3 linked regions of the Saccharomyces cerevisiae S288C genome follow. The protein of the gene in region 2 interacts with the protein of the main gene of each other region in a biochemical or structural test. Each region holds a gene or a part of one and is shown on either strand. Other genes may lie near its edges.

Region 1 (3,777 bases), on a different chromosome or scaffold from region 2:
GCGGACTGTTTGGGTCGTACTACGCCGGTAACTGGGCCAACCGATACGGAAGAAAGTACGTGAGCATGGGCGCCTCGGCCATGTGCATGGTTTCTTCTCTGCTGCTTTTCTTTTCCAACTCCTACTTGCAGTTGCTATTTGGCAGGTTCCTGGTAGGCATGTCCTGCGGCACCGCCATTGTGATCACACCCTTATTTATCAACGAGATTGCCCCCGTGGAGTGGAGAGGCGCTATGGGATCTATGAATCAGGTTTCTATCAATCTAGGTATCCTGCTGACCCAAACCTTGGCACTCAAGTACGCAGACTCCTATAACTGGAGGTGGCTTCTCTTTTCCGGATCCGTGATTGCGGTAGCGAATATTTTAGCTTGGCTCAAAGTGGACGAATCTCCAAGGTGGCTGGTGAGCCACGGATTCGTCTCGGAAGCTGAAACTGCTCTGTTCAAGTTGCGTCCAGGAACGTACCAACAAGCGAAGCAAGAAATTCAGGATTGGCAGCGTAGCCATGGGCACAACCGCGACCCGGAGTCAAGCGAAGAGACTCATTCAGGACCCACACTATGGCAATATGTTACCGATCCCTCATACAAGAAACCGCGCACAGTTATACTCGCCATCTTGTCGTGCCAGCAATTTTGCGGCATCAACTCTATTATCTTCTACGGTGTAAAAGTGATCGGCAAGATTCTACCGGACTACTCGATTCAGGTAAATTTTGCCATTTCCATCCTCAATGTCGTTGTCACTCTAGCAGCATCTGCGATCATCGACCACGTCGGGCGCCGTCCATTATTGCTTGCCTCGACTACGGTGATGACCGCCATGTCGCTGCTGATCAGTGTAGGTCTCACCTTGAGCGTATCCTTTTTACTGGTCACGGCCACTTTTGTCTATATTGCCGCATTCGCCATCGGTCTGGGACCCATCCCCTTCTTGATCATTGGTGAGCTATCCTACCCGCAGGATGCCGCTACAGCTCAAAGTTTTGGTACTGTGTGCAACTGGCTTGCCACCTTCATCGTCGGATACCTCTTCCCGATAGGCCACGGCCTCATGGGCGGCTACGTATTTGCGATCTTCGCCGCCATCGCTGCCATGTTTGCTACATATGTGTACAAGCGTGTACCCGAGACAAAGGGCAAGACTACATACAGCGAGGTTTGGGCTGGCTACTGATCTGTAGCCAGTCATATATACCTAAGCAACTATTTTTTACTTCTTTCTAGCTATTCATCTGTTTTTTATTTTCTTCTTCTTCTAGTAACGAACGGCTACATGAGTATATGCACTCATTTAGTTAGTATCTATGTATATGTACGGAACTAGGCAAACCAAATGGATTGCTGTTGTATGAGATCCGTGTGGCGGAAACCATGACTACCGCTTGTACTGCCGGGGCCAAAATAGCACACGCGCGTCATGAGTCGCTCACGGGCGAGCGTCTATCTGCATATTTTCCTGAGCCCAATATTCGGTTCTGCGTCTTAGCGGCATAAATGCATCCGGCAGGACTGCCGAGAAAAGGAATATACAATGGCAGCCCTCTTGGCGCATTTGATGTATGCGGATTTCCAACCAATCTGCGAATGCATCCGTGCCAAAATGAAACGGCATTTAGCTTGAAAGAGTCGGAATTCCTGCATCAGATGGGTACCATTTTACCACAGTCTTTTGACTCACGCAGAGTACTCGCGTGCAATTGCTTGCAGGTATAATATATACATATATATATATATATATATATATATATATATATATGTACAATTTGTATGACAAGTGGGTGCACCTTTCTCGGTCGGAATTATATGGGGAACTAATACTACGGGTTAGAGCTATAACAATTTCTGCACACTTTAAAAGCGTTTTCATTTCATTTCACCACGTATATATATAGCCTATATATATATCCGCACTAGAACCAAATGGTCAATAGTAAGAGGCAGCAGAGAAGCAAGAAAGTAGCGTCATCCTCCAAAGTGCCCCCCACCAAGGGGAGGACATTTACTGGGTGCTGGGCATGCAGATTCAAGAAACGCAGATGCGACGAGAATAGACCAATCTGTTCACTGTGTGCCAAACATGGAGATAATTGTAGTTACGATATCAGACTTATGTGGTTAGAGGAGAACATCTACAAAGTACGCAAGCATTCACTGATCAGTTCATTACAGGCTCGCAAATCGAAATCGAAACCATTGTGCCAGAAAATCTCAAAATCAAGGTTTAAACAAATGACCCATTTTAGACAACTATCACCCCCGACAAGTGACTGCGAAGACAGCGTGCACGAGGCAAGTAAGGAAACTACGCTTCCTAACGATAATACATTCACCATAAGCGTACGGAGATTGAAGATATACAATAACGCTGTGGCCTCTGTCTTTGGTAGCATGACAAATAGAGATTATACTCAAAAGCGCATAGACAAGAAGTTGGACGAATTGCTTAATATGGTGGAAAACGACATATCTGTGGTCAACCTCAATTGCTCCAAACACGGGCCTTACTCAGTTTTCAGGGCCAATCCGGCTGCAGTTACCTCTGCTCTTACAGATCAGCTGCCGTCGCCGGGTCATTCGATGTCGTCAGCAGAGGAAACCACTACTGCAGCGCTGTCATCGCCGCCAGAAGACAGCACCTCTTTGATCGATATTATCCAAGGCAAAATTTTCGGGATCCTATGGTTTAATTGCTACGGGAACATGATATTGAACCGACAAGAATACACGACGTGGTTCATCAATAAGATGAGGAACTCGTTGACCACGGAATTCATACGCTTCCTTGGGAAAATAATTGACGACCCGGACATCAATATGGCCTCGTGCCTGTTCAAAGAGTGCATCGCTCGTTGGAGTTGTGTCGATTGGCAATCCATAGCTATAACAATGCTGGTCATCATTCATGGATATACCTGCCCCAACTTGACAAAGCTTCTAAGAGTGTGGTTTCTCCAGCAAAAGCTATTGAGATTTTCGATGTATCCGCTGGTCAACTTTATCATAAACAATACACAAGATTTAGACGTCCTGTACCATTGTAATGGATTGCTAGGGAATGCCGACTTATTCGAGGATCCCTACCAGGACGAGCTTACGTCGGAGTTACATGTCTTGGTCACGGAGCGCCTAGTGAATAGTTGGAAAGATACAATATTGCAACAACTTTGCTCATGTCAAGATACCACACTTTCATGTTCCCAACTGCGGTACTGGCAGCTACAACTGAAGTGTAATCAACAATTTTACAAGGATGTATATGCCATGCAGGACTAGGCTTATTGAGCCTTCCCTTCACTCATTTCAAGAAAAAAAAAGCCAAAAGCTTTGCTTGGATATTATACCCATTTTTAACGACATATTTTTTCCCACTACTTTAGATAGAAATTCATGATATTTTGTTTTATATTATATATGTATATATATATATGCACGAAAAAAAATTAAAGTTTATCACTGGGAGATAGGGTTTCCTATCTGCCAGGGTGAAACGTTTATTTTACTGATTTCTTTGTCTTTACTGACATTTATCGGATATCTATCTATCATTCTGAGCCTATGCTTTTTGTTAGCCGTAGACTAAAAAAAAAAAAAAATTGAAGGAAAAGAAATGAAAAAAGCAAATGAGTTGCAATTTTAGTATATTGTAAAAGAGTAACCACATAAAAAAACTAAACAAGAGCCGGTGCAACGGCATTACTCTCTTAGATAAAATTGCTAGTTATATAAAGTCAGGATACTCTTGAGCTATTTTTATCATTTCTTTTGGGTACAAC
Region 2 (6,249 bases):
CCAGAACTATCGGTATCGCCGTTGACCACAGACGTCAAAACAGAAACCAAGAAATCTTTGATGCTAACGTTCAAAGATTAAAGGAATACCAATCTAAGATTATTGTTTTCCCAAGAAATGGTAAGGCCCCAGAAGCTGAACAAGTTTTGTCTGCTGCTGCTACTTTCCCAATTGCTCAACCAGCTACCGATGTTGAAGCTAGAGCTGTCCAAGACAATGGTGAATCTGCTTTCAGAACCTTGAGATTAGCCAGATCTGAGAAGAAATTCAGAGGTATCAGAGAAAAGAGAGCTAGAGAAAAGGCTGAAGCTGAAGCTGAAAAGAAGAAATAGATCTAAAAACTTCATCAAAGAATTTTTCATCCACAATTTTTGTATTTTCCTTCTTTTTTATCTGTTCAATTTCATAAATAATATATATGTACAATGTATAAACGGGAAGCCATCACTTATAATTTATCATTTCCTTAACTTTATAGTCTGGGTGAGAATATGGTTGACAGTATTTTTACAAGTTAGCGCAGTTTTCTTGATATGATGGAACATTATTGTATTAGTAGTAGTCAGGTTTGCAGGCTTTTCCTTCGAGCACAACGTGGCATTATATATAGCATAGAAGAGATGCGAAAGATGGTATTGAACAAAAAGAAAGTACTGTCTTATTGTATTAAAAGCGACTATATAGAAAAATTATAAAAAATTTTAAATGTTAGAATATGCAATTTCTTCTAAACAGTGCGGCACTTCTAATCAAATAAACCGAAACCCATGTCGTCATCGGATTCTTCTTTAGCTTCTTCTTCTTCCTTTTCAGCTTCGGCTTCACCGGCTTCACCACCAGCGACACCACCAGCGACACCAGCTGGGGCAGCAGCACCAGCGCTGAAGTTGACCAATAAGTCCTTCAAGTTTTGGCCGTCCAAAGCCTTAGCAAAAATATCAGCCCAGATATTTTCAACTGGGACATTGGCAGCGTTAGTCAAAGTCAACAACTTTTCAGAAGAGATTTCGATTTCAGAGTCAGCCAAAATCAAGGCGGCGTAAGACAAAGCGGATTCAGTAGACATTTCTTCTTGTTATTTTAGAGATAATCGGTTTAAGCTGTTGTATTGGACAAAGCGGACTATTTCTTTATTCTTTTGATTTCTTTTACTAAAAATTATTCAGAACAGAAGAGATCGCAAACTTTATAAAGATATTTTTTTCAAATACCATGTAAAGGCATTCTTTAAAAAATGAAAAAAAAAAAATCATTACAAAGTTGCGTGGTATCATCTTACGATATTCGTACCTCACGATATGTAGCAGACATAGATGAGGCTACAGGGTTAAGGCTTCTTTTAAATGAAGTATTAGACAAGATACTAGAGTTTAATAAGATCACGTATGGTAATGTTATTTCTTGCTGTGACAATTTTAGAAACAGAAGGCATGTGAGTTTTCATATTACATTAATTAAATGAAATTTTTATAAGCTAGGCTACTGTTCAGCGAATAAATATTTTCAAGCCAGTTTTATGAGGCAGGAAACGTCGCATTCGAGCGGTAATCATGAGGGTCCCTGGTAGTAGGGCGGAGAGATCAGATCAGTATCCAACTTGATTTTTTTTTAGAAGTGGTTGGAATTCTGGAGTTGGCGTATTTACTGCGCTAGAATTTTCGTTCTCCTCTTGCACTTGTTTGCTCTGTTCTTTTTCTACCACCCACCTGTCAAGCAGAGCCTGTGGAACATCCCTTGGTGGTAGCATAATCTCTATCATCCGAATTTTGTCATTGGTCGCAAAGTTTGGGTCACTGATCATGGATCTGAATTCTCCAACAGTAATAATTTTTTTCGTTTCGTAGTTCGTGCAACCAAATACTCGCAATAATCCCAAGTAGTTCCAAGGTTGGATATCGTAATAACTAGCATCTGACCTGTGATGCAAAAACCTGTCCACAGAGTAACCTTGGTTATTCATCACAAAAATATAAGGTGTCAATCCCCACTTAACAATTGTGGATAATTCTTGAACTGTCAATTGGAAAGCACCGTCACCCATAAACAGAATAACTCTATGTTTAGTTGCGGGGAATTTATCCTTGTTTATCTCTTGAACAGCAAATTCTGCCCCAAGACACGCCCCCATTGTATATCCGACAGATCCCCAAAGAGCTTGCGAAATACCTAGTGTATTTACCGGAAATCTGGTCTGGTTAACTCCAAATGCAGAAGCACCAGTTTCTGTTATGATTATGTCACCTGGTTGGAACCAATGGGATATTTCATTCCAGACCCATTCTTGTCTCAAGAGGACATTTCCTGCTGGGTAAGGTCTTGGAACCATCATACTGGGTTGTTCGCTTGGTTGGTAAGACAGTTTAGATTCATCAAGATTTGCTAATATTTTCTGTAGTAGTAATTTAATGCTCAAGTCAGGATATGTGGCATTTTTCAATTTCACAGATGTAGAATATAGTAGCGCACAATTCTTAGTTTTATATTGGAAGTGGAAAGTTGACGTGCTGAATTCGGAGAGCATGCAACCAATGACGATGATAAAATCGGCAAAATCAACTACTTCTCTTACTTCTGGGGCTGATATCGAGCCCGTGAATACGCCCCCAAATTGCGGGTCTGTTTCGTTTACTGTACCCTTACCCATAGGTGTAACAAAAACTGGAAATTTAAGCCTATTACAAAGCTCTTTAGTCTCCTCGATTAAATTCTGTCGACTAGTACATGCATCTACGATGATTGCCGGATTCTGGCTTTTGTATATAAAACTCAATATTCGAGAAATAACTTCTTTCTCTACGTCTGGGTCGTTTTTATGCAATTGTAAATCCAGAGGTGTATTAAGCCTTGCTGATTCAATCGGGAGATTTACCTGGTTGACAGGCATGCCCATGTATACTGGCCTCTGTTCTATCCAAGCCTTTTTGATGCACTTATCGACTTCGTCGGCACATAATTCAGAGTCAATAATCAATGTTGTATAGCATGCTACATCACTGGCTATTCTATGAAATACCGTGAAATCACCATTGCCCAGAGTATGATGCAGTAGTAGTTGTTTCGTTTGTGCACTTGTTGGCGGCATACCCACTATGTGAAGTATTCCTACATGTTCAGCGTAAGATCCGGCCACGCCATTGATTGCCGATAATTCGCCTACACCAAAGGTTGTTATGAGACATCCCAAGCCTTTTAGTCGTGAGTATCCATCTGCTGCGTAGGCAGCATTTAACTCATTAGAATTACCGGCCCATCGTAAGTTCGGAATGTTGTATAGTTTATCCAGCAACGGCATGCTAAATTCTCCGGAGAGTCCAAATATGGTATGTATGTTCAGCTGGTTGAGCCGATGGAAAAGATAATCTGATATTGCTATACACTTCGGCAGTGCATATCTCTGTGTATAGCTAGAATTCATCTTCAGAATGACGACGGTGCGTTTTAGTAGTTATGTTCTTTCAAACCTTTTTTTTTTCGTTTTATTATATTTTACTCTTTTCTACACAATATCGATAATGAATTACGAATTTGGTGCTTACCAAAAGGTTCAAAGATTACTATGCCGTAAAGTATGAAGAAAGGGAAATTTGTTCAATGCATCGCAAGTTTCATCAATTTTTCTTCTATGTGAGTGCTTTTAGCAACTGTTTGCAATAAAGAAACATAGGAGTTCTTACAGTTGCCAAGGTTCTGCATATGCAGTCATACGCTTGTGGCCGGTGAAAATTTGGGCGACCGCTGCCTAGAAAAGCAGCAAGTGAAATTAAATGAAGGAAAGAGGACGGTCGTTATACGTTAGGTTAACTGCATACGCTGTGTATCTGTGTGCAGAAGACAAATGCATATTATGTAATAGTAATGATACAATAGACTAAGAAATTTGAAGGATGAGATATATCACAAAGACGATGAAGGTGCAGAAACAAAATGTTTCAACCGTTCTTCAATGGCGGGCCGTTCCACAAGTGGAACATGGCCCAACTCAGTTTCCACGTCGAAGTCAAATATACGCAGGTTTTGTGCTTTTACGTAAGTGTCGGTATCACAACGTTTGGTTTCGTCAAAATAGCTTGATAATAGACATTGTAGAGGTACCAATCTTTCGCAAGGGTGATACTTCAGAGTTTTTGTTAACAAGTCAAGAGTATCGGGATCTTCGGCTTTGAATATTTCAGCCAAAGTAATGGGCTTGATATTGGGGAAAACATGGTCTTCATAATTTGGGTTCATTCCTGAAATTTCATCCTTTGTGGGTATGCCCATTATCTTAATAATTTCCACCAACTGATCTATACCGCTTTCACCAGAGAACAAGGGCTTGCCCAAAAGCAACTCAGCAATGACACAAGCGCTTGACCACACGTCGACCTGGTTTGAGTAATTAGTGGCACCAAACATGAGTTCGGGAGCCCTATAGTACCTTGAACAGATGTAAGACACATTAGGCTGATCCGGTTTCAAGCATTTGGCACTGCCAAAATCGCAAATCTTGAAAGAAAAAGTTGTCGGATCCACCAGTAGGTTTTGCGGTTTTATATCTCTGTGACAGATTCGAGGAACGTTATGCAAATAGTTTAAAGCTTTGAATAGTTGGTATGCATAGAATTTAATTTCAACACGCGGCATCTGCATTTTCAAATTAACAAAATGACGAAGCCTTTGGTATAACGACTGAGGCATGTAGTCCAAAACCAGATTGAGGTATACTTCATCTTCTTCGTCCTTTTCGTAAAAGTAGTACTGTAGACCCACAGTATTTGGATGGCACAACATCTTCATAGTTTCGAGCTCCCTATTTTTATATCTTCTATCTTGTAGTACTTTCTTTATGGCAACTTTTTGATTGGTCTCAATTATTACAGTCGTGACTACAACACCAAATGAACCATGGCCAACCACTTCTGTCGTAGGATAACTGATGTCGATAGTTCCTCCATGATTTTTTCGGTCGACATCAGTTTTGCGGTCATGTTTATAAACCCGTTTATGAACTAAACCTATGTTAGTATATAATGTGATTCCCATAAAAAATGGTAGTTGATGTAATATGGAAAAATGTTCCGCTATGCTTCCTGATATTTCGTAAGCAAGTTTCTAAGATTAGGGATGCAATTTCATAAATCTTTATTTTACACTCTCTTTTTTTTTCTTTTAATTATTTTTTTTTGTGTCGCGATACTATGAACTGACAGTAGTTCCACTATTCACTCCGGTTGTGACGAAAGAAACATTCCTCCACTGGCAAGAACATAAAAAAAAAAAATAAAAAATAATTATACATACTAGTCCTTTCCTTGGTTTTAATATACCTATAATCAAAATTAATCATTTTCTCAACCTTCTCTTTACTAAGCTTGCTACTAATATTTTCGTGCTTATTGGCAACTTTTCCATCTGTTTTACTGTCCGAGATATTGGCGTGTTCAATGTGATCAACTGCAATACCCTCCTTTCCCCCGTCTATCAGTTTAGATATTATAAGATTCTCTATGTCGTTGATGTACTCTGAACTGTTATTGAAATTAGGTACAGTATGGTGAACTTGAACGTCGCTTACCTTTTTGATTGTATCAGGCTTTCTCTTCTTCTTTTCTAGGGCAGTATTACTCTGTATAGATGTCTTGTGTTTTAGCTGAAGGTTATCTGAGTTATTGAAGGAAATCTTTCGCACTAGGCTTCTCAACACATCGGTCATAGTAGACTATTTTACAATTTTCACCTCTTCAATCTTGAGATTATTTTCAAGTCCCTTCCCCGCAGTATGGTAGAAACGGAAATACTTGTATGCAGCAGGGTTCTTATAGCACCAGTATTTTTTAGAGAATGCTTATTTAAGTTGCAAGATATAGCGACAAAAGGAGAACCAATCTTTCTCAGATCCGCCGCTGGAACAGCTCTCCGGTAGATCCTAACGGATAATGCTGCCCCTGGTTAGTTCCTCATCGGACGACTTTGCTCCCAGGGGCGGCCTTTGTCTTTCTCTTTTGCAGAATCAACTCTATTTTCCCCACCCCCCCGCTTTTTTTTTTTCATGTTCCTTTACCAATCTTTGAAAAATCACGAGATGGTGCATATTTGACAAGGAACGCTTAAAACATCGTGGAGTGAGTGTGGTAAAGGTAAACTGGTCATAGCGGAATTGGTCATAGCGGCGTAGTGCAGCGCAGCCACTAGGAGGATATGGTTTCCTTTCCTTCAATTTACTTGAGTATAAAATATCATAGTAAGCGAAACATTATACAACGATATGAG
Region 3 (5,158 bases), 300 kb from region 2:
ATGCGCCGTTATTGACGATGCGAGTTTTCTAACAAATTATGAATATGCTGCTGCGTATTCCAAATGTAATAATATTCCACTGTTTTGGTCCTCCATACCATTCTTCGGATCAAGATCAATCCACCAATTTTTTAGTACCTCAGGATACTGTTTCTTTGTCCTTTTAAGACATTCTTTGAAAACATCAACGATGCCGTTCGTTGTTATGTACGGCAAATGTAGCTTTTCCTGAACATGACTTAATTGCACAGTGCCTGTATAACATTGTAGCTTCATTAGAACTGATATACGTTTTTCAGCATATTCAAAAAGATTTTTTAGAGGAAGCAAATCAAATGTCTCACTTGTTTTATCTTTTAATCCGATCAAACCCTGGCTGACTAGACGATTAACCAGGTCTCGAAACGCTTCCTTTTCCAAAGAGTCAAAAGATTTCATGACGCCAACATTTTGTTGTTGAAACAAAAACGATGCTAAGCTAGTTACTACGCTGCGTACTTCCTTTAGTTTGTAAAGGTCAGAATTAGAAATCTCTTTCATTTGTAGTCCTAATAGGATCAACATCAAGTTTGACTTTGCTGATGTCCTATTGGGAATCATCACAGGTAGATTAGCGCTTTGATATTCTAGTTTTTTTAACTGTTCGTCATTGCCGTTGTCAATTTGATCACCTGAATTCAAAAAGTGAGTTTCAGGAAAATCCTTTAGCGACGATACAAACCGAAATGACAAGGAATGCACACTATTCGAAGTATCTGTGCTATTGTATGGACTAATAATTTCTAATTCATCCTTCAAGCGTTCTTCTTGCAGTTGCTCGATGAAAGTAGTTTCATTTCTTTTACTTTCTGGGGTTTTGTACCCTATACCTACAAAATCCGGGTTTACTACCTCAATCTGTGATGTCTCAGGTGTCCACTCTTGCTCTTGCGTGAACAATTCTCCAATTACAAAATCGCTTAAGGACCAAGGCGTGTCAAGTTGCTCACGCATGTTCATTGTGATTTTCCAATGATCTATTTCTTCCGTTAAACTGTAGCATAATCTTAAATATTCAACTTGAAGCTCTTGATAGTTCAAACTTGCTTGCCCGTAGACATGAAGAGTTAAGCCTATCAAATCGGTTATGTTCAACCCCCATGATAGGATGCTATCCTTCTTAACTTTACATGTTAAGAATCTCATGTCACTAGTATAACCCACCAATGAAGAGTCTGAAGTACAATCGTCCAACTGAAAAAAAATGTATTCTTGTTTCCCAATCCATTTGAACTGGAGTCCAATGATGCAGCCAATAAGGTGTATTTGCTGTAAAGGATGATTTTTCCAGAACAACATCGACAACCGCCTATCATAATACTTTTCGCAAATTTGCAAAGAAACTCTCATCCGGTACTTTAAATCTCCAACAAATATTCGAACGTCCTCTGTCCCACTATAATAACTGTTGTATTTGAACAGCCTTGGAATATAATAACAAACATCGCCTTCTTGATGAGCTATATGTCCGTACTTATCCATGGCTCCAACCCATTATTAAAAGCCAGCTTATTGCTCTTTTTTCGCACAGAAATGGAATATCAACAAGCAGGATTTCATATATTCCAATGCTTACTTCTTTTTCCATGCCTTTACATACTTCTTTTTGGTGTGATTCGTGGTTTTGTTGTTAGAATAGCTGCTGCATATTTCCGTTCTGAGTGACTTTGCCCATCGAAGTCAATTACTTGAAAGTAAGAAATTATCAAAACCAATAGCTGCTTAAAAATCAGTTGCAAGATTTGAATGAAATCAGCAAAGTTTGATCAATCGTGACTAGTTCGCGTTTTGAATTTTGTGGTAACACCAAGCAGTAAAGAGACAGCTTTATTATAACCAGCATGCTTTCCATTCAGCAAAGATATAATATTTGTCTAATGGCGGAGAGGCACCCAAAGTGGACGCAACTTGAATTGGCAAAATGGGCTTATGAGACGTTCCAGCTGCCAAAAATTCCATCCCAAGGCACAATATCGCGTTTGTTGGCAAGGAAATCAACTTATATGAATTGTAAAGAGCATGAAAAAGATGCGAATAGATTAAGGAAGCCAAATAATCTTTTGGTTCGGAAAATTTTACAAGAATGGATTTCTCAAAGTTTGTGGAATGGAATCCCTATAACGTCACCTATTATTCAAGACACTGCACAAGCTGTTTGGCACAGAATTCCTGCGGAGCATCGCGAGGGAAATGGTTCTTTTAGTTATAAATGGATTTCGAATTTTTTATCAAAAATGGATGTCAATATTTCTGTTTTAGACGAAGAGTTACCCAAAACCCCAAAAGTCTGGACATTTGAAGAGAGGGATGTATTGAAGGCTTATTTCTCCAAAATTCCTCCAAAGGATTTATTCACTTTAGATGAAGCGTTTCTCTCCTACAACCTACCGTTGGATTATGCTCAATATGAAGCAAGTAGCATTCAAAGGCGTATAGAGGTGGCAACTGTCATGCTGTGCTCCAATTTAGATGGCTCTGAAAAGTTAAAACCTGTTGTCGTGGGCAAATATGATAGTTACAAATCATTCAGGAATTATTTCCCCAATGAACCGAATGATCCTGTGTCACAATCAATGTTGGGTACTAAGATGGCTAAGAAATTTGATATCTCATACCATAGTAACAGGAAAGCATGGCTAACGAGCAATCTTTTCCACAACTGGTTAGTCAGGTGGGATAAGAGGTTGGTTGCTGTGAATAGGAAGATTTGGATTGTTTTGGATGATTCTTGCTGTCATCGAATAATTAATTTGCGCCTTCAAAATATAAAACTTGTATACACTTCCTCAAATTCAAAGTTTTTGCCATTTAACTGGGGTGTCTGGGATGAATTCAAAACACGATACAGAATACAACAGTATCAGGCGCTCATTGACTTGCAAAATAGAATTTCGAAGAATATCCAAAATAAAAATAAATCAGAACGGAACGAATGCATACCCAATGGTAAAAAATGTTTGATTAGCTTTGAGCAGAGTCAACTCACAATGTCAAATGCATTCAAATTTATTAAAAAAGCTTGGGATGATATACCCGTTGATGCTATCAAAGCAAATTGGAAAAGTTCCGGTCTGCTTCCTCCTGAAATGATACATTTGAATGAGAATGTTAGTATGGCATTTAAGAAAAACGAAGTCTTAGAGAGCGTTTTGAATAGATTATGTGATGAATACTACTGTGTTAAAAAATGGGAATATGAAATGTTGTTAGATTTAAACATTGAAAACAAAAACACAAACTTCTTGAGTACAGAAGAATTAGTGGAAAGTGCTATTGTGGAGCCTTGTGAACCTGATTTTGATACTGCGCCAAAAGGTAATGAGGTCCATGATGATAATTTTGATGTATCAGTTTTTGCCAATGAAGATGATAATAATCAAAATCATTTAAGCATGTCACAAGCTAGCCACAACCCCGATTACAACAGTAATCACAGCAACAATGCTATTGAAAATACTAATAATAGAGGCAGTAATAATAATAACAATAATAATGGTAGTAGTAATAATATTAATGATAATGATAGTAGCGTAAAGTATTTGCAACAGAATACTGTTGATAATAGTACCAAAACAGGTAACCCTGGACAACCAAATATTTCTAGTATGGAATCGCAAAGGAACTCTTCGACTACAGATTTAGTTGTTGACGGTAATTATGACGTCAATTTTAACGGCCTTTTGAATGATCCATATAATACAATGAAACAGCCGGGCCCATTAGATTATAATGTCAGTACATTAATCGATAAACCTAATTTATTCTTAAGTCCTGATTTGGATTTATCTACTGTTGGCGTTGATATGCAACTACCATCATCAGAATATTTTAGCGAAGTATTTTCTTCAGCTATCAGAAACAACGAAAAAGCTGCCTCAGATCAGAACAAATCAACTGATGAACTTCCTTCAAGCACGGCCATGGCAAATTCAAACTCGATAACGACTGCCCTTCTAGAGTCAAGAAATCAAGCACAGCCGTTTGATGTCCCACATATGAATGGGTTGCTGAGCGACACATCAAAAAGCGGACATTCTGTTAATTCCTCAAATGCTATATCTCAAAATTCTCTGAATAACTTTCAACATAATTCGGCGTCCGTCGCGGAAGCTTCGTCTCCTTCAATTACACCATCTCCTGTGGCAATAAACTCAACAGGCGCTCCAGCGAGATCTATTATATCTGCACCCATAGACTCAAATTCCTCTGCGTCATCGCCATCAGCTTTAGAACATCTTGAAGGTGCTGTTTCCGGTATGTCACCCTCTTCCACCACAATATTAAGTAACTTACAAACAAATATAAATATCGCCAAATCATTGAGTACCATTATGAAACATGCAGAATCAAACGAAATATCACTGACGAAAGAAACAATAAATGAACTTAATTTCAATTATTTGACACTTTTAAAAAGGATTAAAAAGACTAGAAAACAATTAAATAGCGAAAGCATTAAAATAAACAGTAAGAATGCACAAGACCATTTAGAAACCCTTCTATCTGGGGCTGCAGCTGCAGCTGCAACTTCCGCCAATAACTTGGACCTTCCGACTGGTGGTTCAAACCTCCCAGACTCTAATAACTTACACTTACCTGGTAACACAGGCTTTTTTTAGATATAAACTTAATAAGATCTCGATATTCATTGCTCTTTTTTGTAGTTTTGCCTTTAACTCTCGGTTTTTTGAATTTATCATTTTCCTGATGACCTTTGACTGCTCTTTGATCTATCCTGAACACAAGAAAACGAAAAGAATAAATAAAAGTAGAGATATTTATTATTTAGCCTGTACCGATCACTGGAAACTGGATTCTATTAATTTTACTTATTCAAACCAAGATATCTTTTTCTTTTTTTTCTTTTTTTTTTTTTTTTTCAGCAGTACATTCCTGAAGTGTACACTTGCCTTGTGTATTAAATGATGATTCGATATTATAAAACACCATTTAAGTCGTCATTAATTTCAATATCGCTTTCGTCTACTTGAAACAATTTACCTTGACTTCTTATTTTCAGGAATTCATTGGCAAATTTTTTCGTTTCATCATTAATGATAACCAAAATATTATCTCTAACTTCCAAGCTTAATGAATTTTCTTGAACGATATGTTTAAT

What was found. Proteins that work in one complex are often made in the same cells at the same time.
Region 1: the proteins of THI3 (region 2) and THI2 form a complex in vitro, tested with the Saccharomyces cerevisiae proteins (one study listed by BioGRID).
Region 3: the proteins of THI3 (region 2) and PDC2 form a complex in vitro, tested with the Saccharomyces cerevisiae proteins (one study listed by BioGRID).

What each region holds. Positions count from the first base shown.
Region 1 is NC_001134.8:699,990-703,766, reverse strand, and holds THI2 (Thi2p), read left to right. Parts: upstream 1-1,924; coding exon 1,925-3,277; downstream 3,278-3,777. Other genes in the region: VVS1 (Vvs1p), read left to right, coding at 1-1,178. UniProt on the Saccharomyces cerevisiae protein: Positive regulator of thiamine biosynthesis.
Region 2 is NC_001136.10:309,057-315,305, forward strand, and holds THI3 (branched-chain-2-oxoacid decarboxylase THI3), read right to left. Parts: upstream 3,416-6,249; coding exon 1,586-3,415; downstream 1-1,585. Other genes in the region: 60S ribosomal protein eL13 RPL13A, read left to right, coding at 1-332; ribosomal protein P1 RPP1A, read right to left, coding at 746-1,066; putative serine/threonine protein kinase MRK1, read right to left, coding at 3,895-4,988, 5,281-5,692. UniProt on the Saccharomyces cerevisiae protein: One of five 2-oxo acid decarboxylases (PDC1, PDC5, PDC6, ARO10, and THI3) involved in amino acid catabolism.
Region 3 is NC_001136.10:606,804-611,961, reverse strand, and holds PDC2 (Pdc2p), read left to right. Parts: upstream 1-1,880; coding exon 1,881-4,658; downstream 4,659-5,158. Other genes in the region: STN1 (Stn1p), read right to left, coding at 37-1,521; VPS41 (Vps41p), read right to left, coding at 4,976-5,158. UniProt on the Saccharomyces cerevisiae protein: Essential for the synthesis of pyruvate decarboxylase. May be important for a high basal level of PDC gene expression or play a positive role in the autoregulation control of PDC1 and PDC5.